Linked DNA regions of Caenorhabditis elegans. The protein of the gene in region 1 purifies or fractionates together with the protein of each later gene. This does not show direct contact. Each region holds a gene or a part of one and is shown on either strand. Other genes may lie near its edges.

Evidence for each region.
Region 2: the proteins of C27H5.6 (region 1) and cfim-1 fractionate together in Caenorhabditis elegans (co-fractionation; one large-scale study listed by BioGRID). This does not show direct contact.

What each region holds. Positions count from the first base shown.
Region 1 is NC_003280.10:7,178,046-7,195,417, reverse strand, and holds C27H5.6 (G_PROTEIN_RECEP_F1_2 domain-containing protein), read left to right. Parts: upstream 1-8,207; coding exon 8,208-8,384; intron 8,385-8,426; coding exon 8,427-8,696; intron 8,697-8,950; coding exon 8,951-9,136; intron 9,137-9,213; coding exon 9,214-9,352; intron 9,353-9,795; coding exon 9,796-9,926; intron 9,927-9,985; coding exon 9,986-10,051; 3' UTR 10,052-10,140; downstream 10,141-17,372. Other genes in the region: acdh-12 (Very long-chain specific acyl-CoA dehydrogenase, mitochondrial), read left to right, coding at 655-819, 866-969, 1,017-1,332, 1,380-1,493, 1,542-2,257, 2,303-2,439, 2,484-2,632, 2,689-2,829; E04F6.4 (PLD phosphodiesterase domain-containing protein), read right to left, coding at 2,999-3,209, 3,254-3,462, 3,830-3,995, 4,042-4,181, 4,226-4,384, 4,571-4,710, 4,761-4,963, 5,009-5,113 and 2 more; pdl-1 (Phosphodiesterase delta-like protein), read right to left, coding at 10,259-10,340, 10,811-10,916, 11,017-11,142, 11,428-11,593.
Region 2 is NC_003279.8:8,604,850-8,621,249, forward strand, and holds cfim-1 (Cleavage and polyadenylation specificity factor subunit 5), read left to right. Parts: upstream 1-10,538; 5' UTR 10,539-10,543; coding exon 10,544-10,753; intron 10,754-10,800; coding exon 10,801-10,898; intron 10,899-10,947; coding exon 10,948-11,177; intron 11,178-11,274; coding exon 11,275-11,420; 3' UTR 11,421-11,555; downstream 11,556-16,400. Other genes in the region: F43G9.13 (Vesicle transport protein), read left to right, coding at 451-521, 691-793, 1,318-1,402, 1,449-1,528, 1,591-1,683; idha-1 (putative isocitrate dehydrogenase [NAD] subunit alpha, mitochondrial), read right to left, coding at 2,081-2,227, 2,275-2,368, 2,650-2,822, 2,886-2,968, 3,013-3,136, 3,183-3,389, 3,437-3,541, 3,588-3,662 and 1 more; lmd-1 (LysM domain-containing protein), read left to right, coding at 5,082-5,261, 5,311-5,458, 5,508-5,600, 5,651-5,761, 5,830-5,927; F43G9.4 (PWWP domain-containing protein), read right to left, coding at 6,045-6,130, 6,335-6,420, 6,472-6,673, 6,777-6,900, 6,947-7,044, 7,095-7,374, 7,424-7,522, 7,597-7,661 and 1 more; slc-25A42 (Mitochondrial coenzyme A transporter SLC25A42), read right to left, coding at 8,238-8,362, 8,881-9,037, 9,085-9,164, 9,216-9,421, 9,485-9,671, 9,731-9,839, 9,893-9,913; F43G9.21 (uncharacterized protein), read right to left, coding at 11,556-11,676, 11,952-11,965; F43G9.8 (uncharacterized protein), read left to right, coding at 12,551-12,663, 12,775-13,014, 13,293-13,386, 13,704-13,790, 13,840-14,040.

The DNA.
Region 1 (17,372 bases):
GTGGCCGTTAAAGATAAAATATAAGACAACAAGTGTTCATACGAATTTTTCAGTACCATGAGGTGACCCGTAGAGCTATAAAATCATGTTTTTCTTGAAAATTTCATCGAACCTGCGCTAAAGTGTATTTTATCACATTGTCTTTTCACTAGTGCGTAGCCAGGGCCGTTCAAAGTACATAGGGCAAAGTCTACAAGAGATAACAATGACCGTCCTCCACGTTTCCTCTCCATCGTTTGTGTATGTTGGCGATTAATCAGTTTATTATGGAAAATTTACGAAAAATACTGAGCAAACCATGTTTCCAGTTATTTTTAGTTAACTTTTAAACTTCTTATTTTATGAAACACTCTTTTATGTAATCCAAAAAAAGCAAAAAACCTATTCGTTCTTTTTTGCGTTCATATAAAATGCTAAATACTTTTCTATAAAACTTATTCTGAATTCTATTTATTTTGATTGCTCTTGGACGTTCAGTGTAAAAAAGTATTGTTATGTCTGTGTTCTATGTTCTCTCACATGCTGCGTCTCTGCTCTATCCACCGTTCGACCCCCAAGTTGTTTTCTTCACTCTTTATCTCCGTCATCGCTATTTACCCCCTACTGATTCACTGATTGAAACCTATATTATTGGTTTTTTCTTCCAGAGAAACGATGCTGTCAACGCTGAGTAAATCTGCACGGCTCAACCAAACACGATTCATTCGTCTTTCGCATTCTGCTGCTGCTGCAAAAGATGCAAAACCGAAGAAGGTCGCTGCAGTGGACAGTCCATCATTTGTCATGAATCTTTTCAGAGGGAAAGCTGTGACTGACCAGGTATTTGAGAATTTTAGCAGGACCTGTTCAAACTGCCAATTTCCAGGTGTTTCCGTATCCTCTGAATATGACTGACGAACAGAAAGAAACTCTTGGAATGGTGATGTCTCCACTGGAAAAGATGCTTGTCGAAGTTAATGACGTCGTAAAGTGAATAATAAATCTTAAATTTACATGATCAATTTATTTATTTTCAGAAATGACGAGACTTCTGACATTCCAAGAGCAGTTTTGGACCAATTCGCTGAGCTAGGAACATTTGGTGTACTCGTTCCACCAGAGCTTGAAGGTTCCGGATTCAACAATTCTCAGATGGCCAGAGTCGCTGAAATTGTTGGAGCTTACGATCTTGGATTTGGTGTTGTCATGGGTGCTCATCAGTCGATTGGCTACAAAGGAATCCTTCTCGAGGGTACGGATGCTCAGAAACAAAAATATCTTCCCGATTTGGCAACTGGACGCAAATTTGCTGCTTTCGCTCTTACCGAGCCAACTACCGGATCTGATGCTAGTGTAAGCTAGAATATTATTAATTTCTCATAAACTTTAAATTTATTCAGTCAGTTAGAACGAGAGCTGAATTGTCTGCTGATGGTAAGCACTACGTTTTGAATGGTGGAAAAATCTGGATTTCGAACGGAGGATTCGCCGATGTTTTCACTGTGTTTGCTCAGGTAATTTATTTTCATTTTTTGGAAAAACTTTCACAATTGATTATTCAGACTCCTGTCAAGCAGGCCGATGGCTCAACAAAGGACAAGATGTCTGCATTCATTGTCGAAAGAGCGTTTGGTGGAGTCACCAGTGGACCACAAGAGAAGAAAATGGGAATCAAGGGATCGAACACAACTGAAGTTCACTTTGATAATTTAAAAATCCCGGTTGAAAATCTTCTTGGAAAAGAAGGAGAAGGCTTCAAGGTGGCGATGAACATTCTTAATAACGGAAGATTCGGAATTCCAGCTGCCTGTACTGGAGCTATGAAACATTGTATCCAGAAGACTGTCGATCACATCACCACTCGTGTTCAGTTTGGAAAGAAACTTCAAGAATTTGGAAATATCCAAGAAAAGCTGGTAGAAATGATCTCGAAACTGTATGCAACAGAGTCAATTGTCTATATGCTTTCATCAAACATGGATCGTGGAATTAAGGAGTATCAACTTGAAGCAGCTATCGGCAAGGTTCTAGCTTCAGAAAATGCTTGGCTTGTATGCGACGATGCTATTCAAGTTCACGGAGGAATGGGATTCATGCGCGAGACTGGTCTTGAAAGAGTTCTCCGAGATCTTCGTATCTTCAGAATCTTTGAAGGAGCCAATGATGTTCTCCGCCTCTTCATTGCTCTTACTGGAGCACAACATGCTGGAAAGCATCTTGCCGAGCAAGCTTCTGGAGTCGGGGGCCTTATTGGGTTGGCTGTTTCAAGAGTTACCGGGTTTGTGAAATCACATTTTTAGAATTATTAAACTGTATTTTTCAGAGGAAACACTGGCTCCAACTTTGGGCAAGTCGTCGACGCAAGTCTTCAAGATTCAGCTAAAGTATTGGATCAGCAAATTGCTTTGTTTGGACAAACAGTTCAAGGATTACTCATGAAGCATAAAAAGGGAATAATTGGTAATAAAATACCTTTGAACTGCTTTTAATTTTAATTTTTGTAGATCGTCAATATGAGATGCACCGTGTTGCCGACGCTGCCATCAACATTTACAGCTCTGCCGCTGTTCTTTCTCGTGCCACCTATGCCATCAAGAACAAATCTTCAAGTGCTGATTTTGAACGCAAAGTTGCTACTTACTACGTTGATAAGGTAATTTTTGATAACTGCCAAATTTTAAGTTTTAATTTCGATATTTACTCTTTCAGGCGATGAAATCATCAAACAGATTCCTGAAGGATGCCGGAAGTGGTGTTGAGAATGCTTCGAAGGTAGCAACAATTGAATCATTGGCGAAGGAAGTCTGTGGAAATGGAGGACTCACTCTTCAACATCCAGTTGAATTGTAAATTGTAAACTAGACTTGTTTTTTTTTATCGTAAGAAGCTCTTTTAGCCAGTCTGTATGTATCTAGAATTGAATTGCCTTCTTTTTTGAATTTTCGGGTGCGAATATTTTATTTCTTGTGCTATAAAAAACGGAAAATAAATTTTATCAATTGAAATTTTATACACGAAATTAAATGAAAATAAGCGGATCGAGAATCTGATCTTCTCCATGGTTCTTCTCGTAAACTAGTCCGTCAGCAGAGTATTTCTCATTAAATACTCCTATTTGATCAAACCCAAACCATCCGGAGAATGGGTTCGATGGTTTTGAAATTTTTGGAAGATAACCTTTTGATTCACCGTATTTTTGAAGTTTTTGTGAGTACGTGCTATGCCAGTATCTGAAGACAATGAAACATTTTAAATATTTTTTATATTTAATTACCGTTCAAATACAGCTTTTATTTGTCTATTGATATCTCCATAATGTGGTTCTTCGTCTACAATAATTGCAGTTCCAGTTGATTTGTAAAAGTATTCAGGTCCATAATTCGATGAACCAATGAAGGTTCTTGATTCGGAAATCATGAATTTTGCATGCATCTTACGATCTTTATAAGCTTCTTGAGCGGTTTGTGGAATTAAAATGAACTTCTGAAATATTTATATTTAATAAATGTTCAAATTGCGAAGGAGATTTCGAATATTACTTAAACGCGAAATTTCGCCCCACGAATACGGTACCCGGTCTCGACACGACAATTTTTGGTTGATTGCAAACGGATGTGCGCCTTTAAAGAGTACTGTAATTTCAAACTTCCGTAAATGGTATAAATTTAATCGTGTTTTCCATAGATTTTCTCAATGAATATTTTTGAATTCCGCATCAACGAAATTTGAAACGTACAGTACTCTTTAAAGCCGCACGCCTTTTTGTTCTTGATAAAATTGTGTTGTGTCGAGACCGGGTACCGTATATTTAGCACAAATATTCGCGTCTGGATGATATGAATAAACGTACCACTTGAATATTTCTATTTTCCGTTGGAGAATGTAAAACAGAAAGACTATGCAAACAGGAAAACATAAGTTTTTCTTCTTCTTTTTGATCTCCAGATACAAGTATTCGGAATTTAATTCCACGAGAAACACTCATTCGGATGGCATTATCGATTTGAGAGAAGAACCTGAACACTATAAAATGACCATTTTTTTATCTTTAAATTTCCTTACTCTCTATTCTTAAAATAGATCCATGAAGGGAAATATTGCATTACAGAAATATCAACAAAATCATTTGCTTCATAAATCAGATTTAAAAGTGCTTCGAGATCCCAGCTATGAGAAGAAGTAAGGAAAAAAGATGGAGATGCCTAAATTTGTGATTTATTATAAAATTCTGGAAAAGGAAACTTACCAGAAATTGGAAAGTGGAATTTCCAATTCGATGTGATTGGAAATCTACAGTTTCGAGTTTCTCATTACCAGAGAGTGATCCAAACATTTGATCGAATAATCTGGAAGCATCTTTGGCAATGCATGGACAGTCGTGGAATTCCAGTCCGATTTCAATTTTCTGTAAGAAAGAATGAGGTTTTGTAGAGCCGAATATAATATTTACTAAACCATTCAATTCTCCATGCTCTGATTACTATACAACATTTTTTGTAAAATCGGACATATGAAAATTTGTGTGTATTAACGTAATTTGTTCAAATTAATAGGTTAAAAACTGTACATGATAATTGTTTCAAGAACTTACTTGTGAAAACGATTTCCATTCGAAATTCATACTTCCAACAAATAAATGCTTGTCATCTACAATAAACGTTTTACTATGTTGAACACCTCCTGATCCACCATTCAATGTATTCATATCCAATCCTTGTCTTTGAATTAATCCTGAAATATTGGTTTTATAATTCATTTAATTTTCTACAACTAACTCTAACCTAATCTCTCTAATTCATCAGCGTCATAATCATATTCTGGCATAACTGGTGGTTGACAATCAATTAGTTTAATCAAAACTCCTGATTTCGCCTGATTTTCAAGTATATTATAGAGTTGACGTCCTTCAAATGTGGAATTGTCTACATCATATTTCAATTCTCTTCCCCGTAAATTCATTTTGAATGCAAAAATGTCAATCTCCCTGAAAATCTTCAAAATTTAATTTTAAAATGAATTTCAGACAAACCTCTCAGCAGTTCCAAGAAGTTCAGCCCATGATTCAAATGCATTCTTTGTGTGAACTCGGTCTGCAAACCATATTCCACGTGGAATCGATTCGACAACAGAAACACTGAAATTTTATTGTTTTGAACATATTCTCGAATAACTGAATACTAATTTTTAAAATAAGTTAAACCGGTTTATTTACGTATGTACATGAAATCATTGGCTGACCAAATTGTCAAAATAACCAGAAATAATATGAATCGTATCTTCGATCCACTCGACGAACCTGCAAGTTTTGCCACATTCGACGCCAATTGGAGGAATTAAAGTTGGAAATTGTATTTCTGAGGTTTCACTTGAAGCTTCAGAGACGTCAGTTGTAATTTCAGATGTTAGAGTTGAAGTAGAGACAGCTGAAATGCATTTTAATTCAACAATTTTTAATTTCTGTTTTAAGGCTTTCAATTTAACCATACAGTTGTACCGTTCTCATGAAAAGTCAGTCATTTATCAAACGTTTCCTTTAAAAGTATTAGATAATTTACCACTTTCTGATGGTCCAACTGATGTCGATGTGAACTGTACAGTCGTCTCCTCTACCGTAGTACTTGGGATTACTGTAGTTGTGACTGTCACTTGTACTAATGTACTGTTCTCTCCATCTTTATGATCTTCTGCTGAACTGCTCGAGGATGAATCACTTTCAGATGTTGACATGCTTCCAGCTGTACTTGTTATCACATTTTCTTCTGTAGTGAATTCATATGGACTTGTTATAGGGTTTGACGTGACTGCATTTGTTGTTAAATAGGATACTGTAGTTTTTGTGTTGTCAGAATTATCAGGAGTATCAGGAAGTCTGTGGAGAATATTAATAACAACAACAATTATCACAAGAGCCACAACAATTGCAGAAACCAGGTAAATTGGAAGTTTTGTGCGAGTTTTTGGAGGTTTTGAGACTACCGTCGGCAGTTCGGATGACACCGACATGTTTGTGGAGAATGATGAAGAGAAATTGGAAAATGGACATATACTCTCGTTTGAATTTGCATGATCCGATTTGATGAATCAGTTAGTGATTGGAAACTATTGATTTGAAGAAGTGGGTGGGGGAGTTAAGGGAAAAATGTCGATTTGTTGAGGTCAATTAGAGTTCGGAGAGTATATGTACCATACTAAAACAAGCGACGGCTTGTATAATTTTGGATTTGAAAATTTCAATGAGAAATAATTTTGTAAGATATGCATACTCTAAAATCAATAAAATTTTTTGAAAACGTCAGCTAATTCAATTTGAGTTGAGCATTTGAACCCGGCTCAATGAGTTATTTTATTTTCACATGTTGGTAAATAAACCCAAATTAAATAAATTTTTGCAAGAATCAATTGAACAATAATCACCTCCAGTGATTCGTATTTTTAAACCTGCTCCATGCTTTGTTACTATGATCTTAAGATATTCTCATTTTTCTCAGAGTGTTTTGAAAAAGTATGTCACTAGACTTTGAGAAGGCTTTTTCGTGATTTCAATATTTATTCCAATGCTCAAAAAGCTCAAAAACCAAGTTCTTTATTTTTTTACAAAATTAGAATTTTTGGTTGCTCAGAAAAAGTTTGGTTCCTTCCAACCACGTGTTTGTCTCTTGATGCTCATCTTAATTAAGAAACATGAAGGTTCTTTGGTCCACTCCGTTCCTTATTGCAGCTGTAAATGAACGTTCTCTGAGTTATAGAAAAGTTGCAAGTTCTTTAAATTCTCATATGATCGGCACGTAGCACATGATGTTCGGATCTATTTATGAAATCTTCTGGTAGCCACAAAGAACGTAACAAAAAAAAACCACGTTTTTCCCACAGATTCATTATGAAATATTCAGCAGGTGCACGAGATGGGCGGGCACATATGGTTCATAGTCAAGAATACTTTTAGTCGGATTAAAAATCAAAAAATCAGATGTATTCTATTCTCATGTATCTCACTTTTTCTTGCGAAAAATACTATTGTGCCGCTGTATTTGTCCAAAAAACCTTGAAAAATTGCAAAAAAGTTTTTTAAAAAGTTTCCATTTCTTACAAACTATCAAATGTTCAACTAGGGATACCGTAAAAGATTGGTCTGCGATCAAACCGCGCGATATGTAAACTTAAATTTAAACAGTGCTAATATCATTCCAGCCAGAACGAAGAAAAGAGGCAAGTAGGTCGACAATCCCAAAATAAGCAAATTTTTCTGAATGTTCTCTATCTCTGTACTATGACAGTTTTCGATCCACTTTTAGAGTTCCAGGTTCTCCAGGTGCTCCAAAAAATTTGACAGTTTTTCCCAAACTAGGTGGAAAACTTCGAATTGTTTTTTCGGGTTTAGAAATCGAGATATTTTGAATTGGTCGACCCACCTTCCAACAAGCCTCATTATACTAACACCTTTTCAGTGGGAGTTTCCGTTAAAAAAAAACTCCAATTTGGGCTTACACGATTAATCTAGTTTTGTCTGGATTGTGACTGATATGTGGTGCTCTATTTCTTTTAAAACATTCAGCCCCCACTTGTAACATTTCTGAAAAAGATCCTTTGAAGGATCTTTTAATTAGAAGTTAAAAACAAAACTACCAGGGATGTTCATACTGTGTATGAGGTCTGTACCTCCAGCTTCGACTCTTTCATTTTTGTCAGCATTCTAAATAACAGAGGAAACAAAGCACATTAAAAATACTGTTTATTCCATTTTTATGAAACTTAGTCACACTATTTTCCAGGAATCTGGGATACTACGTCTGTGAGAATCTTTAACCGTTGAGTTCAAAAATATGTAGTCCAATCACCTCAGGCTCCACCCAACACGTGTTGACAGAAGGATGCTGTTGTTCAAGATAAACATATTCGCTTGAATTCTCTCATTCTGCAAGGTGGCATGGAAGTTTGTGTCACGAAGCAAAGAATAGACTTGGGTTTCCCTTTCTAATAAATTAACTGATGTAAAATTCTAGTATCAAAAGCCATATAAGTGTACACCTAGCCGATCACCAATGTTCTAAAATTCTAAAATAGATCCAAGAATTTTCTATCCTTCAAACCACAAATGCTTTAGCCATTATTCTAAAGATTTAATTAAAACGTGCTGAGCACATGGTGCCTGACCCGTGCCTAAACCGCCCAGCAACTCATCCTTTGTTTCATCGTCACAATCTTCGTCATCCAGTACTCCAAAAGTAGTCATGATTTTTCAGAGGATGTTCCCAGGTGATGGAGAAATACTTCTTCGCAGTCGACTTTATATTATATGTGGAATACTTGTACTTATTCCGAACACTATTTGTCTGGTTGTCTTTAATTCCAGTAAGGATTTTAGACAGAGATTCGTGTTTTTCACTTTATTGTCACTTTCGGATATGGTAAGTAAACTTGGTTTTATTTGCATATACAACATTTTTCAGATAAATGGAATTTCATTCATAATGTCGGGCGCAGGAAGATTGGATCTATTGTTAAGAGATCAATATCATATTGACACAAGTAGTTCACAATGCATGACTGCATACTTGTGGCCAGTATTCTTATTATTCGGTGGTCAACTACCTGCAACATTTCACTGTTTGTTAACTGTAGAACGAGTGCTTGCCGTGAACAGAGTGAGCTGGTATCGGAGCCGTTGGACATGGAGAAACAGACTTTATCTGTCATCATTTGGAATTGTTCTCTGTGGAGTGAGTTTTTGTAACAAGATGTTCAATGAAATTGTGGGGTGGTACTGTAGATCTAATAAAATGGTTAACTTTAAAAAATAAAGGCCATGTTGTGTTCAACTTGCTGAATTTATCAAAAGGCTCCAATTTAGGAAAGACAACTTTTTCAGGAACGGACAGTCACAATTTTCTGATGAAATAAAAGTTAATATATCTGTAGAGACACCATAATATTCACTGTATAACTCCTTGCTGACCAAACCAAACTATTCCAGCTCCTCACATTCATTGCATTTGTTGTGTCCTTTGCTTCTCCTTCAATAAACGATGATCGAATGTGTGCAGTAATGAATTCAACTGGAATTGTATATGGAACTATTCATTATTGCTGGATTGCATGCTCGTACATGATAGCTTTTGCAGTTACACTCAACTTATTTCTACGATCCCACGGCTCCAAAGTTCGTTGTTTTCGCTAGAATTTAGTCACAAAAAGTCTAACGATTAAACCGCGTTTATAAAAACATTGTCATTTCAGTTCTTGAATCACACAGAGAAACGGAAACAAATGGCTATTCTAATTTTATCCGGTATTAATGTATTGATGGTCAGTGTGCCTAATTTTGTGCTGGTTGCTGATCAGTGGCACTCCGATGAGTTCGACGTACTTCTTGTTGGTTAGTGAACCTTTTTATGCAAAATGCTTCACTGATTGTGTAGTCGTAAAAACTTGTGTCGAGCATGTTTTAAAGTTTGAACTTCAATGGGAATATAGTTGAAGTCATGGTTTGAATATTTGCCATTAATTGAGCCAATTGATGAAAAGAAAGTTCATTTTTTGATATTTTAGATATTCTAAGATATTTTCAAAAGTCTGACAAGACTTGGTCAAGACTGTTCTAGTTCAACCAATTTAACTAGTTCAACTCTTGTCAAAGCCTTGACCAAAATGAACTGTCAAACACTAAAATTGAAGTCTGAAATAACATTTCAATATCACTTTGAATAATGAGATAATAACATATAAACTAGAAAGAAAAGCTAGTTAATTCTTAATTAACTTAAGAATTAATTAAGAATTAACTTTAAATTATTTTTTTCAAATAGTTAATGTTTCCAGGTGTTGCCTATCTTCTCTATGGTTTCCAATCTTGTTTCAACCTTCCCATCTTTTACTTTTTCCGTCTCGAATTCCGTCGCCGGTGCCACGAACTTCTCCGTTTCCGTCGTAACGGGACAAACACAATTGTGGTAAGATTGATGCATGTCCTTTCATTTTTCAATTATTTTCAGTTCTTCCTATTTTTCAGTCGAACGACATGAGTCGCCAGAAGCTATCACGTGTCAATGCTTCATTTGTGAACACTGCAATCTAAATGTATTTTTGGGACAATTTTCCTGAGCTATTCAATTTGTAAAATATATTCATATGTACATAGATGAATAAATAAATCCGTTGAAGATTTTCATTCTGAAATTGAATATTAAAATTAGGTATGTATTGTTTTAGGAATTAAAAAAGAGAGATCCATGGAGAAACAGGGAAGGATTAGAAGGGAAAAATGGATATGAATGTATATGTATTAGTCGTAATAAAGACGGACTCGAGACGTGCTTACAAGAAGATCTCCATCATAGAATAAAGTCTCGACGACGACGTTTCCGCTGAAAAATTGAGATTGTATTTTCAATCGTTCGAAATGTCAAGGCCTCGAACACAATTTAATGTTATTTTTATAGTAGGATTAAGTAGTTATATATAAGATGGTGTGCAGCATCTCCTGTGGTACGAAAATTACATACCATAAAGAATACTAAAACGTTTCAAAACTCAAAAAAAAAACTATCGGTAATTACTCAGTTTTCACCAGTACAAATATTGAAAGTCTGTTTTAATTTTTATAAAAAACACTGTATTGGTAAAATCCTACAGCAATGTTTGAAATTACTCAAAAACCCAATTTTTGAATTTTTGCCAATTTACCAAAACGCTGACTGATATAAAAAATGTTTGATTACGATACTCGGTCATGTTTACCTAATAACTATTAAGGTTTGCATGTTTCTGTTTCTAGTATCTTGAAGTGAAGCTTTGAAGCTTAGAAATCTAGTACTTTTGCACTTGTTTTACTTACCTGAGTACAGATGGTGGGAACATTTGTGATTCTGGAGCTGCCTCAATCATATTTTGCCACGTGTTTGTTGAATCAGGAATGACAAATCCAAAATCGAAATACCACTCTGAAGTCGGAATACATAATTAGTTTTCATCACCAGAAGCCAATATTATTCATCCATTGCGTGCAATAACATAATGAATATTCGAGTGATTCTATCTTACCTTCAATGATGGTTCCCTTCAAATAAACGCGTTGCTCGAGTCGAAATTTTTCGATTTTGACTGATGAAGTGAAGTTGATCTCACGAGACACCGTACGACATTTTAGAAGATTCTTTGGCACGTGTGCTGCAATCCATTAGTTTTTATTTGTTGGCTTCAAGCAATTCTATTTTTGTAGGAAAAACGCATTGCATTAGAGACCAGCGGTAAAAGACATGTGAAGGCTTAACTACACGCTCAGTGTTGCTTGCTAGCTGTGGCAGAATGGCGCAGTGGATGTGCGCGCGCATTGGGGGGAGACGCTCTCGCGTTCGTTCCCTCGTGTTGTCAGTGACGATATTACTTACCGCCCCAGGCATAGTGTTTGTGATGATTGGTTTATTCCGAGACTTTTTTTGAAATTCTTATTACCTTTGTGTTCCCTTTTTGGGTCAGCCATGTCTTCTGTGCTCTGCCAGAGAACTTTTCCAGTTTCTGCATCACGCAAGTTCATCCAGTTGAGCTTGAAGCCAGCCAGAATGCTCTCTGCCTTTTCGCTCAATTTAGAATCTTGATGACGAGTAGCGGTAGTGGCCATGACTGGAGCTCTACTCTCTGAAGAAAGTGATGTTTTGAGGAAATGACGACAGACCGAGGCACAAGAAAGAGGAACCGGTCATCTTAGGAACAAGGAAAAGTCAATATTGACGAAAAGTGACGATTGCCGGAAAAAGAGCATAAAAAATGAGTGTTCCCGAAGAGTGGTCATTATGAAAAAAAGAACACGTGGAGATCATTGAATTCATAAAGGAAGTCGTGTTATAAGTGGCACTTACATTTTATGAAAAAGGGAAGAGAATAAGAGAAGTAACTCGTATTCATACAATTATATATTACTGCTTATATATTTCTTTTCGTAATTCGACGGTTCTGTGGTTTGAGCAGGATGGGATTAGGTGATAATTTAGAGAAATATCATATTATTTCAATAATTCCCTAGATAAAGCTATGACTAGTAAGTCGGGCACTTATAACGCAGAAATTGCAATAGAAAATTTTCTTCAGAAAATCTACATAAATAGTCGATTGTAGTGTTTAAACAGAAAATGTATTTTTAAAAAAATATTATTTGAACTTATTTGTAATTCTGAAAATTTTGTATCGTTTAGATAACCTACAAATTGAAAGTAGGAATTGAAACAAACAGAACAAAAAAATATGTGCAAATTTTTGCATGTAATTAAAATTTCCAAACAATTTTGGTGTGTATGAAAGAAAGCAAATAAATAAATTTAAAAAGTCGACCAAAACATATTCAATTTCAAGAGGCAAGACGAGGTGAGATGATGTGATAGAAAAGGCGTGAAAAAGTTTTTACGAAATTTTAGAGGAAGCGCAGTCTCTGGCACAATGTTTTCACGGCCTTCTCGTTGCTCCCAGCTCAACCCCGACTGCGGTGGACGGAGAAAGCTCCAAATTAACCGAAAAGAGCGCGTCGTTGGGATGAGAGAAATAGAGAAATATGCGAAAGAAGTGAAGATGGCAGAAAGGAGAAAAAGAGACACAGGGAAAGGCTCTATTGAGTTGAAGAAGAAGAAGAAGAAGAAGAAGAAGGAAAATTGTGAAAAAAAAAGGAAAAAGAAGACGAAAATGACGGAAATGGAGAGAAAAAGGAAGAAGGATTTTAAGACGATCGGAGGGAAATGAGAAAAGTCTGAATGTTAAAACGGTGAGCTAGATGAGGGAACGAATGTAGGCGGAGTCATGGAGTCACTTGAATTGTTAAGTATATTCACGAGGTGGCTGATGAACAGGGTTTAAGACTTTGAGAACATTTTTGTTTGGAAAATGTGGGCATTTTATTGCAAAATCACAACAGCAGGAAAAAAGAAAATTATTTTTGATGTAAGGTGTGCCTTTTATAACCCTTGAAGTTATATACTGTTATTTACATGAACTTCCAAGTGATTCACACACACAACAAATGCAGTTACAAGTGCAGTGCATATTCAGTTTACATCGAACATTTTCTAACATTTTCTAGGTTAAAAAAAAAGAATTTGAAGTTCGAGTTCGAGCAAATCGAAAGGTTCTATGTTTCTTCTATACATATTTAAGTCTAATTTTTTAACTCCTGAAGTTTCTGCCTCGGGTTTTTGAGTTTTACCGAAAATAAGACTGTGCAATACATCGTCTGTGAAGATGGGAAAAGCTTTCAATCAAAACTACAGAAAACATTTACAAAATACAAGCTCCAAGTGACAAAACAAGCATTCAAACATTGAAAGTTGTTTGCTTAACAAAATACTTTTCAATGTTATCTTTAGATTTTTCTACCTCTCTCTTCAAAAATAGTATACTTTCAAAATACAAAGGGCAACAATTGCATCGAAATCAAATTTTTGTAGCAAGTTAAAAATTCTATAAAAATACTGTTAATTATTCTCTGAGATCTTGATTCGTGTTTAAAACTTTGGTCATACACAGTCAATCTTATTGGAATTCAATATACAATCTTTTAGTTATTTCTTGTTGGGAAATAATTACAAAATGAAATCTGCACGGGATTCAACATACGATCTTCAAGAGTGGAAGTCCTACAAAACATAGAATATTTTAAATTTCCAATACAAATTGAGTGCTGATCGCACCCATATTAAACTGCCGACAGATGGATAATCCCGCTCTCTCCAGTCGTAACATTTATAAAAACTATTTAGTGAAAACAGTGAAAATTCATCGATGGAAAACGCAAAGCGGCTGACCAAGGGTGTCGTGTGGGAAAAAGTGAGCGAATTTCCGATTCTCAGTCACCAGGGGCAACGCGAAGATGCGATTAGAATGTGCAAGTAGCTTTTGGGCCAAATGCTCACGGAAACCAATCATGAGATGGATTATATTTGAATTTGAATAGCTGATTTGAATAAAGAACATATGTAAAACCAATAATTTGAGATGTGAAAAATCTGAAATTGGAAATTGAATTTAGTTGGATGGAAGGAAAATTTATCAGAAATAAATTTCAAAATAAATTTAAGGTTAATAAGAATTGTTGGAATCATATAATTTTATTTGTAAAAAACCCCGATAAAAGCAAATAGAGAAATATGAAGTCAAAAGTTCTATAGGATCTATGATTTTTTACATTACGGAGTCCCACTCAATTCATTAAAATTGCACGACATTCAGGGAAAATGAAACATGGAGCATAATTTTTTAATTACTTTCTGGGATGTTTTGAGAATGTGTGTGAAATACGGAAACTTTGCTCAGATATGGAATAATTTAGCATAATTGAATTACTACTAACTTATAATAAGATGGTCTTTGTCCTATCTCGTTTTAATTCTAAAAGCTTTGAAAATTATTACGGTGTTACTGTAAATTAGATCATAATTTCTGCAAAAGGAGGGGAAAAAGAAAACCAGAGGTTTAAAAAATTTGGCAAAATAGAAAATTTAATTCGTTAAACTAAAAGGCTGTAACCGAGATCTTAAATGGATTTTACAATTTTTAAAAGGTAGAAGGTTTATATCTTTAGTGTAATTTTTGGTAGAATCTTTCAGAAATCGCTTTCAAACAACTTCAAATAGTCTTTTTATTCCACAATCGTTGTAAAACTTTCCTGATACTATATTTTTTATGAACTGTCAAGAGCGCAACATTAAAATGTAGTAATTTGGTATAATGTTTAAAAAATACAAAATTAACCATGTACAATGGGAATAAAACTATTCACATAAGAGAAATTCCGAAAAGTTTTCAAATTTAAAACAGCCATGGAATTACAAATATCTAGAGTATTTACACAATTAAACCAAAATTATCCATAAAATGATGCATTTCTGTTTTATGATGATATGAATATTTTTTCCCAGATTGCTTGAACGAAATAAATGACGTCTAGTATCACTTTAATTGATGTTTATGCCCATAATTTCCATCTATGTTAAGCTTCTGAGTTAAGCTTCTGAAATTGGAGAATCATCTCCATCTTTTTCTTTTCTTTTTCTTCTTCCACTTTTCTCTATTTCCGGTTGCCCCGCCTTCTCTGTCTTCGTGACTAATTACAGACTGAGATGCGCTTCAAAAACACGATTACTCCAAGCTCTCCTTCCACTTTGGCACCGAGCCCTTCTTTCTTGCTCACCGCCAATTTGGCTCTCATCTACTACTCATTTTGTCCCTCTTTTGTTCTTTCTTTTTTCGTTTTTTTCCCTCTTCCTTTCATCAGTGCGAAATACCTTGTTTTCGTTGAATGGAATCCTTTTCTTCCCTTTTTTTGTGTTGTAAACTACTACAATCGAATAGAATTGAAAGAAGAGCAAAGGGTCAAAATAGGAATTTGAAAAGAAAGGATTTTTCTCACTTCTCACAAACTGAATTTAACGGCTATCCTTGCGTTTTGTGTGTTGATGGAAACCCGGGAGGAGGAGTTCCCGATATTTTCAGATTTTATTTCAGGAACAGAGGATTTTATTTTTCTAATAATTTTACGCCGAGATTTGTTTCGATGAAAACAGAAAATACGGCACACGGTCTTGCAAAGTTTCGCGTCTGGGTCACAACGGCAGTTGCACCTGTAGACAAAATAGAGAAAAAGAATGTAGAGAAAAAAAAAGAAAAAATGCAGAGAAAGTAAACAATTTAGAAAACTGTCAAAATCTTCTCTAATTATTTTAGTCTCTAACATTCAGGACCTCTAAATTTTGCAATCCTCCACAAAAATACAGACCAAGATGTTTTGGAATTTTTTCTGAGTAACCGATAATGCCAAAAATTATTTGAGAAATACTTTACATCTACATTTATTTAGTCTTAAAATACTAATCCACTTTTAAAGCTGGAGTATTGTCAGAAGACACACACAATCAATAGTCTAACATGGTCAAATATTATAGCTGAACTCTCTGAACATTTCTAGATTTTGGAAAAATATTCAGTCAAAGTATTGGTAGGTTGGCAATTTTAGAAACAAACATCTAGTGACTGTAAGAAGTTTCCCAGTGGCGATACTTTATTTTTAAAACGTTATACTGAATCGAAATTGCTCTAAAAAGATGTTTAATATCTAATGAGATTAGTAAAATCCTTTCATCTTTCCGATTTTCTAGTTAACTTTTGATAGCATACCACCTAAAGTGTAACCCCTCCCGTTTTTTGTGTCAATTTTAATAATGTTCTTTGTTCAATTCATGTCTTTTCCAGGCTCCTTTTCGTTACGACCGTGTGAGAGGCCATCCTTTAAAAACAGCTCAATTATTCACAATTCTTATTGTTTTGCTCGTGAAATCCCATTGTCTCCATCAGTTTCTTCCGTCTTCTTTCCACCCAATTCTTCACAAAACGCTTCCACCGATTTTCATTCATTTTCCACATTTTTGTCACAGTTTTCTTTTTTTTTTTTGCTTCGTTCGTGCCATGTGTAGAAGTAGTAGTAGTAGTAATAATAATAATAAATTCATAAAAATGTTTGAGCAACTCGAGATAGTACACAGATTATCAGAGGGAGCAGACAACGATGTAGGATGTGCCTGGAGGCGGTCATTCGATACTTTTGACGCCCTGCAAATCCCTGAGATCCCCGGCGCCTCCAGCATATACACATAAATATAAACTCCACTTTTATCTCATTCCGTTTTCTTTCATTTAACTGAAATTCAGTTTTTTTTCGGAGATTTCTACTTTAGCAAAACTTTTTACTGTTTTGCATTGAAGGTTGAATATTGTTTTTACTAAAATGTGGCCTGTCAGTTTTCAAGTTCGGAATAATCGTATCTTTCAGAGCTTTAGAAGATTCTCCGTAACTGTCTACTGATTATTTTTGATTCACTCTAAAAGGAGATATTCAAAAAAGAAATAGAATATCGTCGGCCAGAATTATTTTTTAAACAAAATCCAAAAATCTAAAGAAAATGAATGTTATAATCAGCTTTAGATAATCGAAATTATTTGCAAAACTTGAGATTTCCGAAAATGATCATAATTCGCTTTTATTTGATTTTACCAATTACTGCTCATCTTTTAAAATATTGAAAAATGTTTGGCTAATATTTTAACTGTGAAACATTCTGTGATAACACCAAGGGCAACTGTTAAACTCGATGCATTAAAAAACCGCATGTTAACTAAAAATTTCCATTAGAAATTACACGAAACACTTTTGGAAATTTAAATTAAAATAATTCCAAAATTCAAAATCTCCACAGTTATTACCTGTCACATCATTATGCTCGTTGGTGTCGTTTTTTGTCGGAAAACCCGAAAACTTCCCAAGACTTACTCGAGAATTCTGAACTTTGTTACTTTCTGAATACCCAATCAGAGTCGTCTCGAGTCAGGAAAAAGTCAGCAGAATGGAGAAATTTTCTTTCCGA
Region 2 (16,400 bases), on another chromosome or scaffold:
ATTCTTCCATAAGATATCCCAAATCAAACCAAATCGTGTAGTTTAGCATTTGTTCTCTTTCTCTAAAAATCCCACAGTCGGCGTTACTTTATCACTCCAATATCATTTTTCTTCCCTTTGGCAAGTCGTTGGAATATATCGGTGGTTTCGTATTGTCCCGTTTGACTTGCACATTTCCATTCTAAGAACCAAAACTTTTTGAATTTTGAAATGTATCTTCCATTCCATATTCTTGCACAAATCTTATATTTTGATATACCTTATTGTCCCAACCACGTCTACTTTTAGCACCGAAAAATAAAATATTAGAGATCGAGAATTCATGTTTTCAATTTAAATTTACAAAAAGTTTTAATTCCTCCAAATTATCTCTTTTAATCTCTAATTTTTGAAATTATTATTCTGCTTTTCAGAATTTGAATTAAAAATAATGTAATCAAGAGTCTCAAGATGCCGGAAAATAAAGAAATAATTACGATTTTCGAGAATTCTAGAAATTATACAAATTTAACCAGTGAAAGGTGAGAAATTTTCTAAATTCTAAACTGAATACCGCATACCGTTAACAATGCAATGAAATTAATGTATAATGTGATTGTACATGCCCTTTTATTCTATCCATGAGCTCATTTTTGATTTTAAAATTCAAAAAATCTCCACAAGAAATACTTTAATGTTTTCTATTTCTAGCACTTATTCGTTGGCCGGTGCACTACTTCTTTCTGGAAAATATATGAATGATTGGTGGGAAATCACATTAAGCATATTTCTTTGGATGTCACTTTCTTTTATGGTAAGTTTTGGAAACATGAAATATTATTAAAATTTCTAATGTTCCAAAAATTCGAAGATTTGGCATTTTTGCATTTCCAGAAAAAAAATCTGTGTATTATATTTTTTTGGCAATATTATTAACACTTCTTTCAAAGTGGCTAGGATTACTCCAAACTCCGAGTCCCTACTTCTAAACACCTTTTAATTCACCAAAATGCCCTAACAAAAACTGACTTTATTACACAGACGAAAAATTGTTGGCAACAATACTGTACCCGGTCTCGATACGACACATTTTTAATAAATGCAAAAAGGTGTGTTCTGTAATTTAAAACTCCTGCCTACGGGTTTTTTAATTTAATTAATTTATTCCTTTGTAAAAAACAAAAATAAATAACGATAAAAACAGATGAACGCACACCATGCACTCAACAAGTATATTAGTCGTGTCGAAACTGGGGTCTGTATTCTTTGGCATAATTTGCTACGGGTAATATGACATATTTTATTCAGAAACTATTTTTTATGTTTCAATTGTTCCAGGTAATTAGTCTCGGAGCCACAATTCTTTCCCTTTTCACTCTTCGAAAACATCCATACGTTTGCTTTATTCCAATTCCATTTATCAGTAAGATTCTGAAAATCTTTTTTTTTTCATAATTTCAACTTTTCAGTAATGATGTTCATCATTCCTTTCGTTTTTGGTGCTCCTACGTCAATGGTTCTCGCACTGGCAATGTACGCTTCGAAAAATGTACGTTAAAAAAAATTTACTTTTCAAGAAGTTAAAAAGTTGAGGGAAAAAACATTTTTCAGGCTGTGAGCACTTGGTATTGTGCAATAATGGGTATCATTCAAACTCTTCTGATTTTCGTGACTTCTGTAACCCGAATCCACGCGACGCTGTAACTTATTGTGATTATGTAGAAACGATTGCTTTAATAAATTTTTTTAGTTTCTTTGTCTATAAAATCTCGAAAAGAAAAAACCATATAAAAATTTCCAGAAATGAACAGAAATAATGGGAATCGAAAGATGGTGTAGAAGAAGAAAAAACAAAAGTCTCGGGGTGCTTATAGTTATGCGAGTGAATCAGAGAAGACTTATCGAACGATTTTGTGGTTCATGCCAATGGGATAGGAGTAAAGCGATTAAGGACGCGGGATGGACTGGTGGGTAATCTATACAAAATTGAAAACCGAAAAAAGGTGTCATTAAATCATTACTAATCATCAAAGTGTTTTAGTGTCTAACAGCCTGTTTACAATAAGAAAAAGAAAATAGAAGGGGAAGTAGCATTGAGCATTTATTCGAGGTCTTTAACACGGGCACAAACATCAGCGGTGAATGAAGAGCAAGTTCCAGTACCTCCGAGATCTCCAGTTTTGGCACGTCCATCAGCAATTGCATCAAATACAGCCTTTTCGATACGAGCAGCGTGTTGTGGAAGGTTCTGAAAATGAGCTTGTAAAATTTTTAGACCGACTACGATATAAAAACCATGTAACGGAGCATCATGACGGCAGATAGAAGAAGAGCAGTTGGGTTTGCTTTGTCTTGTCCAGCAATATCTGGGGCGGTTCCGTGAACGGATCTGTAAAGAAATTTGGTAAGTTTTGTTTGAATAAAAAATTGTATTTCGCTATAAAATAAAGTTTTCAGGTTAAAAAAAATTAGATTTAAATTTTATTGAGAAGATTAAAAAAATGCAAGATTTCATCAAATTCAACTTTTTTAGTATTTCCTACTTTTATAATTTCGTATTTTTTGCTTTCGATTTCACTTCTATGTGTTTATCTGAAATTTCAGAAATTAACAAAAATTCTAAACTGAGTTCATTTCATTTGTCAAAGCATTTTTTAACAAAAAACATACTCAAATACGGCGGCTCCTTTTCCAATATTTCCAGATGGGGTGACTCCGAGTCCTCCAACAAGACCAGCGCACAAATCGGAAAGAATGTCTCCATACAAGTTTGGCATGACAAGAACATCGTATTGTGATGGATCCTGGACCATGTTCAAGCAAACTGTGTCGAGGTAGGCTTCCTAAAATTATAGATTATAAATTTTAACAGGAAGTGGTTTTTCTTTAAATTCTATTATTCATACCTTGAACTTGATATCTGGGTAGAGGGCAGCTTGCTCGCGGCAGATGGACAAAAACAAACCGTCGGATTGTCTCATAATGTTGGCTGTAAAAATAATTGTTTTAATTTTCTTTTTCAATTTATATTACCTTTGTGGACAGCAGTCACAACTTTGCGCCCATTTTGACGAGCATACTCGAAGGCGAAGCTGGCGACATTGCGAGAAGCAGTTTCAGTAATAAGCTTGATAGATTGAACAACTCCCGGGACAATCTGAAACAATTATTAGGTGATACATTTATTATTTAATTTAATATACCTCGTGCTCAATTCCAGAGTACTCTCCCTCTGTGTTCTCACGAATTGTGACAACATCGACATTGTCGTACAATGTCTTGTGTCCTTCAAGGGAACGGCATGGACGAACGTTGGCGTAAAGGCTAAACTCTTTTCTCACAGCCAAATTCAAAGATCTGTGTCCTTTTCCAATTGGGGTCTCGAGTGGTCCTTTAAGTCCAACTTTGTTCTGAAAAACGTAACAATCAGAAATAAATGTACAATTTTCAAACTAACCGCGTGCATAAGCTCGATGCAACGACTTGGAATACGGAAGACTCCATCGCGTCCCTTAACTGGAGTCACATCAACTGGGTCCCAAGCAATCGGGGCATCGGCGGCCTAGAAATAACATGATGTAAGACACACGAAATAATTGAAAATTCACCTCAAAAATCTTCTGTACAGAAGCTGAAATTTCCGGCCCAATTCCGTCTCCTGGAATTAAAGTGACACGGCGAACCTGAACAAAACTGGCTTTTTTATAAAGTTTCGAGGTTTCTTACGTCTCCGGAGCTGTATCTGATGGATTGTCCGACGGTAGACGACGCCTTTTTGATGCACTTGCCAAGCATTCTGAACCCTGGAAACAAAAATATTTGAGATGGAAGGAAAAATTGAGCGAGAAAGAAAATGAAAAAGTATTTACGATGCACATTTTTTGAGACTATCTAGACGATCATATTTTGGAAAATCAAAATTTAACATCAGGAATCATTAATAAAATATGTTAAGCCTTAAATTAAAGAGCCAAGGAAAAGGGCGGTAGCAGGGCAGCCGAGGTGTTCGGTAGAGCGCAATTTATCGATCATTGGAAAGGGCGGCCAGCAAAAGCCAGTTGAAAAATAGAAAAGCAAATGGAGGGTGCGAGACGGGTATACAATAGACACATTGCATATTGTTTTTTTCTGTTTCGTTTCTCTTTTTCTTCCGGATCCTTGCGTGCGTTTGTCGCAGCGTCCCGCTGCGTGGAAACAGCTAGCCAGATATAATCTCTTTGCACCTGTAGCTACGGCATCCTGCGACGTGGATTTCAGTTTTTATTGATTATTTAAAATTATACCACGTATGTAAACTAAATAATGGAACACATAATTTTTGGTGAAAAACTGTACTAAATGTACTATCATCTGACTTTCTCTTTCACTTGATATCGTACAATTAATGCGTAATTTGAGAGATAAGACATTAATGCATTATAAAGAAGATTTTCGAAGCTTCTTCCGTTTTAATCAAGTTTTAAAAAATAAATTAGTGAAAAACTATAACATTCTTCTAGGACACTTTTTTAAAGTATTTATTTAATCTTGTTTAAACGTTGACGTTAAAGGTGCACCCATGGGTACGTTTTCCTATTTTCTTTTAATTTTTAATGAGGAATTCATCTGAAAATGTGACATAATTTGTCAAATTTTGGATATATTTTTTCGCAAAAAAACTTGATTATTATTAAGTTCGCTGAAACTCTGAAAATAGATTAAACCGATAGTTTTACATTCTCTGAAACGTTAAAATTTTTATTTAGTGAAATTGTTTCGTTGTTAAGCGTTTTAAAGCTGTTTATGTGTCAAATGTAAGAAAATTTAGTAAAAGGTGTTGTTTTATCAATTTACTTGCTGAAAAAAGGCAAAATCATTACAATAATACAGAAAAATAAAAAAAAACAGGATTGAACAAGTTTAACGTTTCGAAGGCTGATTCTGTTCCGCCCGTAAATCCACACGCGCGTTAGGACACATTTTATGGTTTCGAGATAGGCGCCTTCAAAATTACTGTACTTGTGTCTGCGTCTCTGATTTATACACGATGTTTTTAAGTGTCTCGTGGATTTTGACAACTTCGAAAAATACATTTTATTTTTATTTATTTAATTTTCAGTAAAATGGCAATGAAAGAAGGCAGCTCAGTGGAGCAATTTGCAATGAGAAGTCGTGCAGCAAGGACTTCATCGAGTGAAGGTTTCCAAAACGATATGCCCACATACAAGGATGTAGTTTTTATTGAAAGAAAAGTAAAAAACGGCGATACACTCAATAAATTGGCAATAAAATATCAAGTAAATGTGAGTTCTGTCGGTTTCAATAAAATATTTTATTTGCAATATTTTTCAGGTAGCCGAAATAAAACGAGTGAATAATATGGTATCCGAGCAAGATTTTATGGCACTTTCAAAAGTGAAAATTCCAGTTAGCCGAATGAGAATGGCGTTAGGCGTACAATCGGCTTTAAGCCAAGACGAAGAAGACGAAATTCTTATTGGTTAGTTTTTTTTTGCTGAGATAAAGCTTTAATTTCTAAAGATTTACAGATATTGATGACAGAACTGCACTTCTGCGAGAAGATCGAGGCTCACGAGATCCCAGTGTCGAGGATATTTTCCATAAAACTGATACTAACATAGGTGAATAAAAGTTAATAAAAATTATTAAAAAACAAATAGAAAAATTTCAGCTCAAGTTCGAGAAGCTCTTCCAGAAGAAAGTCACGGTGTCACTGGTTTTCATTTTGTAACCGCTCGAGCCCCAACTTCGTCATCTATTTCTGTTTGGATGGTTGTTTTAGGTAGGTTTTTTCTTTCTTGGTCGTATAAAAATGTCAAATCTTTGATATTTGAGAATTCATTTTTTCAGGAGTTCTCTTGATCTTCTGTGTACTTCCTTTGGTGCTTACCTTCTACGAAGAGCAAGAAGAAGCCGCTCATCAACATAAGACTACACATGCCGCTTGAAAATTAACACCTTTGTTTAAAATAATTTTATTAATTTATTAATGTTTTGCTTTTCTCCCCTTTCATATCAAAATCCCATCCCCATCCCTAGTGATAGTGTGATTCAACTCGCCATTTTCATCTCATTTCTTCGAAAACATTTCCTCTTGTTTGGGTAGCTGTTCCGTCTTTTGAAATCTTGTCCCCATGCTCGTTCTCGAGAACTGAAATTTTATTTAGTACACAGGATGAACGCAAATGCATAATTTTTCTGTATCATTATAAAACAATAAAGTGATAAATACTTATAAGACAATGCAAACACGTGATAGCTCAAATAAGTTGGTTTGGTATGTATTTTGGGATAATATCATGATGAAACATTTTTACAGTGATAATTGAGATATATAACTAGTTAGGTAGTTAACTTTGAATTGCATCGCTTTCATCACATGCCAAGCGGCAAAGCTCTTCCAGGTGATCAGTGACAGGAATGCTCATTGATGAATCCAAGCTGAAAATTTTTTAAATTAATGAGAACTTAAAATTGTTCATTTAATCATACCCTAAGACGCGAGTATTTAGTTGATAGAAAATTTCTTTTGAAGTTTGATAATCCAAATTTCTACACGCTGAATAACAAGTGATCAGTATGTGTGGAATGATGTGAGAAGATGTGATATTGAATGTGGAAATGAAGGAAAGTGACGGATTCTGCATGCGGATAAAATTGAATATTCGCTCGAAGACTATGTCGTAGTCGGATTCTGAAATTATTAAATCTTTAAATATAAAAAATGAAGCAAATATCACAAAATTCGGTTTAAAAAATATGCTTTTAGTAAAAATTAAACTTTTTTTGTAAATTACCTTTCAGAAACTGATTGTTTTTCAATTTGATCGTCATTTTATCCTTCATAGTCTGGTTTTTGGATTGAGCCACTTCATCACTCTTCCAGATTTCATTGATCAGAACTTCAAAACGATCATCAATCTGAAATTTGAATGTTAAAAAATTATAATTTTGAACTATCTCGTACCATTTTCATCATAGATTTCGATTGTTCTTCGGTAATTGGAGGTTGTTGTTGTGATCCGGATGGTGTTGAGCGTTCGGAAGACGAAGGTTTCTTGGAAACTGGAATTTTTATTAGTTAATTCTATTTTATCGGTAAAGGTGTAATTTACCTGGTGACATTAAATCCTCATCATCTTCTTCGTTTTCTTGTTGTTCAGAATCAACTTTCTTTTTCCGTTTTTCGGGTTTTCCAGTTTTGTTCTTCGTCACCTCTCCGTTCATTTTCTTCATTTTTTCTGAACCACCAGCAGCTTCACCAAGCGATTGAATATTCGAACCACGAGTTTTCCCATTACTTGAAAGATATTCACAAGCCGCGCGATGTGCTTTTTTTAAATCAGAATTTGCATTTTCCGGAAGAGGTTCGGTGGTGACTAGTGCGTATGTTAACTGAAATTCGAGAATAGTTGCATCGTGTTTTCGGTAATTTTGATCTTACTTTTGGAGCACAACTGAATCGGCTTCTTTTCGTTTCATCGACACCAGGCGCCAAAGGGAAAAAGCTGTAGCTGACTTTTTTGGGATAAGCATTATTGACCTGTAAAAAGAGTTCGTTGAGGCAGAAAGGGAATATTGTATTTTTATCTTCAGTTTTCTATAAAAAAAACGAACCAGTGCTGGCCACATAGGATCTTTTCTGTATGGAACCCAAATGACATCTCCTTTTGAAATATTTTCTGAAATATCGTGAATTTAGTTATGTATTTCCAAAAACTAAACTAACGTGCGATCACAGCGTTTAAATTGGGCATCGTATATAAATTATTCTGAAATTAATGATAAAAGTCGAAAACCCTTGAGAAATTTTCGAAAAATACAAATTTACGGCTAAATTACCAAGAAAAGACGATGAAAGCTCCTGAAATCAAAATTTCAACACTTACTGTTGAATAATAAAAATAAAAACCGTTTATGAATTGAGCAATAAATTGAAAATCACTAAAAACGGGGAAAGTTGATTTGGCGGGGAAACACTGGCACTTGATAATGAAATAGAGGGGAAAAGAATAACCGAGAAATTTTTAAAAAAATTGAGTATTCACAGAAGAAATATGATTTTGAGTATTAAAAAATTATTTTTGGATTAGAAAAAAATCTTCTAAATATTCACGTTCACTATCCACTAAACAGTCTAAAATTAGCGGTATCTAAAAAAACAAATGCAGTAAAAATTAAAGTCAAATCGAAATAGAAAAAAAACAAATCATGAGAAAATATATTTTTGGCGGTAAGAAAAGAGAGAGTTCCATTGATTATCGTTTTAGATGACCCACAAGTTCCAGAACTTTTTCATAAGTGGTGAACGAGACTCCGACTGCAATTGGTCCTTTCAGCCAATTCATGCTCAATCCTTTGTACAATCCTCGTTTCAAACCCTCTGAAAATTTGATGTTTTTGTATTGTTTGCTGTATAGTTTATTCTAGTAAAGCCCACTCAAATATTGTGAATTGTTCGGAGTTTTATGTGTAGCTATAAAAAATTACTTTAGAAATTCCAAAATCTTGTTTTAGAGGTGGACGGCGGCAATTATTGAAAAATCATAAATATTGCGCCATGTTCACCCCATATATTTTTTTTAGAAAATCGTAGTATAGAAAATCACTTAAATTATCCAAAAAGTTGATATTTGCCCAAAAACAAAGTTAGATAACTCGATAATCAGTAATTGACAACTTTCAGATCATTTTTAAGCACTTTCTCAAATTTTTCAACTGGAATTAATTTGATTTTCGGACACATCAAGTGATTTTCTATACTTTGACATTGAATTTCAATTAAAAAAATGTTGGAACAAGCAGGTTATTTTGTTTAATTGCAACCGCCCATTTCTGATAGAACTATATTGTCATTATAGTAAGGTTTAAAAAAAACTATAATTCAAAAAATAGTCATACCCGTATGATAAATATGAATTAGAGCTCTAAGAGGACTCCATCCACTCGGAATTCGCCCTGTTTGCATCCGCCTTCTCACAATATCGAGTGGATATGACGATGATTGACCGATCAAACCAGCTAACATTCCAAATAACATTCGGTAGTAGGAATTTTCCTGAATTATCATACATAATAACGTATAGAAATAATTTCTCAACTCACAACTTCACCTCTATGATCTCGATACATAATCTTAAGAGTTTCGTATGTGAAGAAGGAAGATCCAGCGTATGGTATTACTCCTGTAATCAACAAAAATCGATAAGAAAGATGTTTTTCATAAGAATTCCTACCTAGTATAGTTGGATAAATCCCTCTGTACAATAGTTGAATACCACCTTCTTTATATGTTTTTACAAAAACATGTTTCAAAGAACTATATTGTAATTTTGAAGAGACTGAAAGACGAGCTTTTGCGGTGTCTAAAGGATAAGTGATCATTGTAGCTGTTGTGGCGGCAAGAGAACCTGTTATATATCGTTTCACGGGTGTTCGACTTCTGGAAATTAACATTTTGAAGTTAAATTTGCCACCTCGGTGTGAAAAAAACTTTAAAACTCACCCATTTTCGTCAACTTTCAGCAATTTTTTATACTGCTCGAAGGCTGCGAATTGCATCGACGCGTATGGCACAACACGAGCCATCGTCGCAGAATTTCCACGATACAATGCAAAGAATCCATTTTCCCGATATGTTAGTTTTATGAATTTAATGGCAGATCGGAATGAGTAACCACGTGTACTTGAAACTGGAACATACAAAAAATTAGGTGTATTTTCGATTGTTTCGAAGTGACATAATTCTTACCTTGAAAATAAATTTTAGTTCGATCCAAAGGTGCGATTGTAGTTTTGGCTAAAGCTCCGGCGATCGCGCCTGCGGATAGTGACAAAACGACACTGGGCCTCTGTTTTCCCTGAAAATATGATTTTATGACAGAGATGTTCCAAAATTTATTTAAAATCTTACCTCATTTGAGTCGTGCGGCATGAAAATTGCAAAAAAATCACGAGTCTTTGCTGGTTTTTCTAGTTGGAATGATACAAAGTCAACGATTTATCTGCAAGATCATCATGTGTTATTGGATATAAATTCACATAATTAACATAACAAAACGATTCAAAAACGAAATTTCAAAGAATGTCTAGAGTATCATACTGGGAGCAAAGAATTTCAAGGTGAAGAGTAATGAAAAAAGTGATGTGTGATTTTTCTCTGGCGTCTCTTTATCTTCCTTACCGATTGTTTACACTTAAAATGTGACTGGCTAGTAGTTGATAGGCGAGCGTTCTTTGACGTCTGCGTCTTAACTAGTTTCTCATTGAGATGTTCGTTTTAGACGGTCAAAAATTATAGAAATGAACAAAATATTGTTGTTTTTTAGATTTTTACGATAAAGGCGTGAAAATTTTATAAATTTGATTCAGACGGACTAGTTTTCACACGTTGCAACCGCGCCCCATGGACAAACTGTTTCTAGGCCATCTGTACATTTTTTTTGTAATTTTGTTTTCAAACAATTTTTTCCAGTTTTCAATTCATTTTTTTTAATTTGCTCTTCGTCAATATTTAATTGTGTACTCTAAATTGGTTCAAAATTTAAATATAATTTCAGTTAAAATGGAAGACATCTGGCCAACAATCGAAAGAACAACAATTTCAGCATCTGTGCCCGAGGCTCCAGCGAACTTTGATGAAAAACCTCCGTTCAATCGAACAATCAACGTGTATCCGTTGACTAATTACACATTTGGTACTAAAGATGCACAAGCAGAAAAAGACAAATCAGTTCCAGAAAGGTTCAAACGAATGAAAGACGAATATGAAGTGGTAGGTGTTCTCTAATTGTCTCCAACCGATATCAATTATTTTTTTAGATGGGAATGCGTAGATCAGTTGAAGCGGTGCTTATTGTTCATGAGCACTCACTTCCACATATCCTACTCCTGCAGATTGGTACCACCTTTTATAAATTGTGAGATTAATTCCTATTAAAATCTGAAAGTTTCATAAAAAAATTGCAGGCCGGGTGGAGAATTGGAACTTGGTGAGGATGAGATATCTGGAGTCACACGTCTTCTAAACGAGACACTCGGAAGAACCGATGGGGAGACAAACGAATGGACAATCGAGGATGAGATAGGCAACTGGTGGCGACCAAACTTTGATCCTCCCCGTTACCCGTACATCCCTGCGCACGTGACAAAACCCAAGGAGCACACCAAGCTGTTGCTTGTTCAGTTGCCCTCAAAATGTAAGAGACTGAAAAATTGATAAGATCAAAATTTAAAGTGTCTTCGAATTTTTTCCCTAATTGAAACCTAAGCAGTTTAATGTTTTGTACATTTCAGCAACATTCTGCGTTCCCAAAAACTTCAAACTCGTCGCAGCTCCACTCTTTGAACTTTATGACAACGCAGCCGCCTATGGACCACTGATTTCCTCTCTTCCAACCACTCTTTCGAGATTTAATTTCATTTTCAATGACTCCAACTAAATATTTTTATTATCTGTTACTTTTTGTGTCTTCCTATTTTGTAAATGACCTTGTTCACTCTAATTTTGCTCCTACCAAATCTTCGATTTTGTTATGTATGATCTCTCAAATCGTTAGTATGAATTTAAAAATAAATTATTTCTTCATTTTCATTCGTTGTAATTTAATTCTTCCAACAACAAATATGATGAAACAAATTATGCAGATCGTGGCTTGTATACAAAACACTGTGAAGACGCTTGTTTCGATGGAAATTCTGAAAGAATATTTCATATTACGTAGAAGTTGAGAAAATACGCCATATCTTACGGTCTTGGGTCTCGCCACGCGGACAACCAGTTATTGTAATTGAATCTTGATATTCAAATTAAATGATAATTTCTGACATTATTTTTAAAAAAGTTGCTAGCGTGGTGAGACCCATGCGCGAGACTCATGCCTCTTTAATTTAAGCAGGAAATAAAATACAATAGAAAAGTAACTAAAGAAAACGTAACTAAAGAAGTAACTAAAGAAAGAAAACTAACTTACCTATCAAACTTCATATTGTTAATTCTTGATACGGACGTTGTTGTTTCAGTGTTTCAGATTGAATATAGCGAATTTTTCGTTCAAAATGGATGAACGGCTCACAAAACTTTCAATTCACATTTAGAAATACATTGAGAAATAACAAACTCAAAGAAATAAATGATTACAATTCAATAATTTTTTTGAAATCAGATTCTTTGACGCGAGTGAATCGAAATTAATGATAAGATTCATTTTCGATTTTCTTCAGTTTTCAATCAAATCGGATTGAGCTAGGTAATAATGAAAACCATTTGGAAACGTGCATTTTCAAAGTTGCGAAACATTAAAGGCGCACGGATTTATTTGAATGGGTCTCACCGCAAAAGAAATGGTACTCTGACTCATTTTTCGTGTCGAGACTCATCGGACAAAATCCGTGCGCCTGCAGGTATCCGTTTTAGACTGTGACTGAGATCGTGTCGAGACCCACTCCGAAAACACCACGCTCCTTTAAACTGATTTCATATTTTCACGAAACAACAATACATCAAAAGTTTTTCAGATTTCTCCACGGAACATTAAATTTCGGCAAAACAAATATATTCTGTAATTGAAGAATGTCCTTAACTACTCAGAATCCTGGCAATCCCACAAACATCTCAAACATCTCATCTCAAATCGGACCAACATCTCAAAAACCTATAGTCGAACTTTGGGACGATGAAGGACAGTATGCCATTTTTGAATCAATTTTTATTTAATTTTTCTGAATTTCACTATATTATAGCGTTTTCAATTTTGCTATTTTGAAAAAAAATCGAAAACATATTAATCTTTTTAGAGACTTCTTTATGAAAACTGGAGCATACATCATGGCATCGTTCATTTTGCAAATACTTTCTGTGATTCTCTTGATGAAAATAATTCGTATATACATGTCGATACACAGGAAGAATATGAGAAAGAAGAAGATGATGAAGTTACAACAAACGAAGCAAGAAGATCCTCCGTCGGCAGTTTTACCATCTCCGTCCCACTTTACAACACAAACTTCTACAAATACTGTTGAAGATGCGAATATGTTAGTTTTTTTTAAAATCTTGTTTGAAATTTCAACTTGTGTTTCTTGGCTTGAATATTAAGTACAGAAAAACAAGCATCCCCACAATATATACTGTCTGAGTGCGTACCTGAAGAGATTTCTCGTAGGTACGAAGGCAGGTATTTAAAAAAAGCTAGAACATATGACAACTGAGATGTCAAAGATAAACTGTGGTGGGCAATACTAATAGAAGAAATACGGATAGTTACGGGACTTTAATAATTGTTTGTATGGGAGAACTCAAATATAACTTTCAGGGTCCTTGAAGGCAATGAAATGCTCATGAAACACCGAGCGCGACTTCTAAAACCAACCCAAAAGAGAACTACAAAGGATGGCAATTCTGAAACAGTACGTTACAAAAGTTTTCACAAGATATTTCTATCTGTTGGATGTTTTCATGTATTCAAGCTTTTTTTAAACTATTACAATAGTTTTACATTTCAATAGTTCAAGTGTGTTTTTGAACCGCCTGCCTGCCTTCAATTTAGAATTGCCAAAGTCTTGGCAATCGTCAAATATAGACTTTGGAACCAAGTTACAATTCTCCGGAAACCGGTGAAAAATTTCCCATTACTGCACAGCACTGGTAGGCATTGGTCATGAAGGCAGGCATGCAGGCATACGTCTTTGTGTTTACGTGGCAACTTTGAACATATCAATTCCAGCCCTCAACACATGACGGAACCAGAAAAATCGTGTTTCAAGAGAAAGGACAAATTCTTCTAAACACCAACAATGTTACTGAATATGCTGTGCGTTTTTTGTTTTAAACTTTTTAAAATTAATAACCACAACTTTCAGGTGATGGACGGAGAAGACAAACCGGGCGAGAAGATAAACATCAAAAAAGTTACATTTGATTTTGGATCGTTTGTTACTTACAATGTAGGGATTGACGTGGATGAATGGGAAGAGCCAATTGAGAAGATTGCGGGCTCCGCAGGTTCGGGTGGATCAGTTATGACGGCTAGTATCAAGCAGAAGTCCATTAAGAGATTTTAAATAAACAATTTTTTTGTCTTTTTGAATAAATAAATTGTGGGAAAGAACTCAGAGGCAAAAACACTAAGTTTAGAAACTTCGACAATTGTTGCACCGCTGTGGTAGGTAGGGTTGAACTGACATGGAAGTAAGCCGACAAGGTGTGATTGATTTTTTGGGTGCACAGTTAATTCGCGATATGCGCATAACGACTGTAAGCAAGATGGGCATATTACAATCGAGGTTCTTGCACAATATGCACATTTCGACTTGTTAAATCCGACTTCCTTTCGTTTGAAGTTTGTTACATATTGATTAACTTTTGACTGGCTCTTTCTGTACTAAGCCTCTTCGTGGCGAAAGGGATCAACAGATAACCACTTCAACAAACTCGATGATTTCGTCACATCGAGAGTGGCTTGGTTTGGAACCAAGTGCAAATTATCTGGCCAAGAAGTACACCGTCTCACGCAGGCCAGAGGTAGTGTCGAATACTTTCTGTCCGGGCGGCTCTAGATTGGCTTAGCAGGTCATTATAGAGTATCTAGAGACACAACTTTTGCTCTAAACAGCAACCCATCCTGCCTCAGTCCTCCGCATCCGGCCTCTGCAAAGGGAAAGACAGTTCCTGGAGCACGTCGGAAGAGGCGATCTAATCTCGGAGTCCAAACCATATGTCAATCGGACTTGGAAATTAAGAAGCCGCGGGACAAAACAAGAAGAACTGACTATCGCGTGTGCACCTTCAACTGCAGGTCCTTGTCTTCGGATGATCGACTTGCTGAGTTGCTAGAAGAGACGAGGCGAATCCAATTCGACGTCATCGGATTGTGTGAAACCAAACGAGCAGCCGAGGCACACTTGATACATCACGACGGTACCGGCGTCTTCTTAGGCAAACGGAATGAAAGTTCTGTATCCGGTGGGGTCGGCTTCATAGTTCGAAGCACCCTCCTTCCCAAAATCGTAGAAGTACGATTTCTTAGTCACCGCATCGGCTTACTCACCTTCAAAGTGAGCCGAAAATTCAACTGCACGGTGATTCAAGTCTATGCTCCAACTGCGGACTCAGACCTTGAGGAAATCTGCGACTTCTACGACCGTGTTGAAGACGTCTTCAGAGAGTGCCGAAGCAAGTATAAACTTGTTATCGGCGACTTCAACGCTCGAATGGGATGCAGACAAAACAACGAAAGGTACATTGGCCCCCATGCCATGGAACCAAGAAATGATACTGGAGAGCTTCTCGCAACATTTTGTGAAACCAACCGTCTGTGGCACACGAACTCTATGTTCAAAAAGCCTATGCACAAACGGTGGACTTTCGTCAGTCCCGACGGGAATCACAGACACGAAATTGACCACATTCTGGCCAATGGAAAGTTTGTCACAGATACCACTGTACTCCCCTCTTTCACAAATGGTAGCGACCATAGGTTACTCCGCTGTAACCTCCACTTCAACAATTGTCTAGCAAAGTTGGAGCAGGTCAGACGGAGAAAACCTCCGAAAAGAGTGTTGGACCCGGCGTTTGCTTATGCAATCTCAGCGACAGTCACGGTTCAGAGTGATCCTGATTTAGATACCGACTATGATAATCTGATTCAGTCACTAAAAGAACTTCAAGACCAAGCTATCGTTCGACCGGCCAACCACTCATCCAACAGACTTTCGGAGGAAACCCGAAAACTGCTGAACAAAAGACGTTTTATGGATAGAAATGATCCCCAATTCAAATCTATTTCAGATAAATGTCGTGAAGCAGTTCAGAAAGACCATGAAGCTTTTGCCAGTACTCGCCTTCTATCTGCTGCGAACCAGAAAAAGAGTTTGAAAAGAGTTGCTAGGGACATCAACGAATATAAGTCAGTTATCCCATGCCTCAAATCAACCTCTACTGGTGAAAGAATCACTTCCAGGGTGAAAATGGAGCAGGAGATTGAGAAGTTCTACACGGAGCTCTTCAAAAGCGCTGTGAGCAACTCTCAAACATCTTCAATACCCGCCACGCCAACTCCACCGCCGTTTCTCCCGGAAGAAATTCGACATGTTCTCCGTTCCTTCCCGAATGGTAAAGCTGCAGGCCAAGACAAAATCAGTGCAGATTTCTTGAAATCTTGCCACGATAACGTCATTGACCTGATAACGGATCGATTCAACAGGTACCTCCACAGCAGAAATGTACCGAAACCCTGGAAAACCTCCAAAACCACTCTCATCTTCAAGAAAGGTGACCGTGAGAATTTGGAAAACTATAGGCCCATCTGCCTACTACCCGTACTCTACAAAGTATTCACCAAGTGTTTGCTGAATAGAATGCGAAGATCCCTTGATGAGGCTCAACCTGTCGAGCAGGCCGGATTCCGACGGTCTTTCTCTAC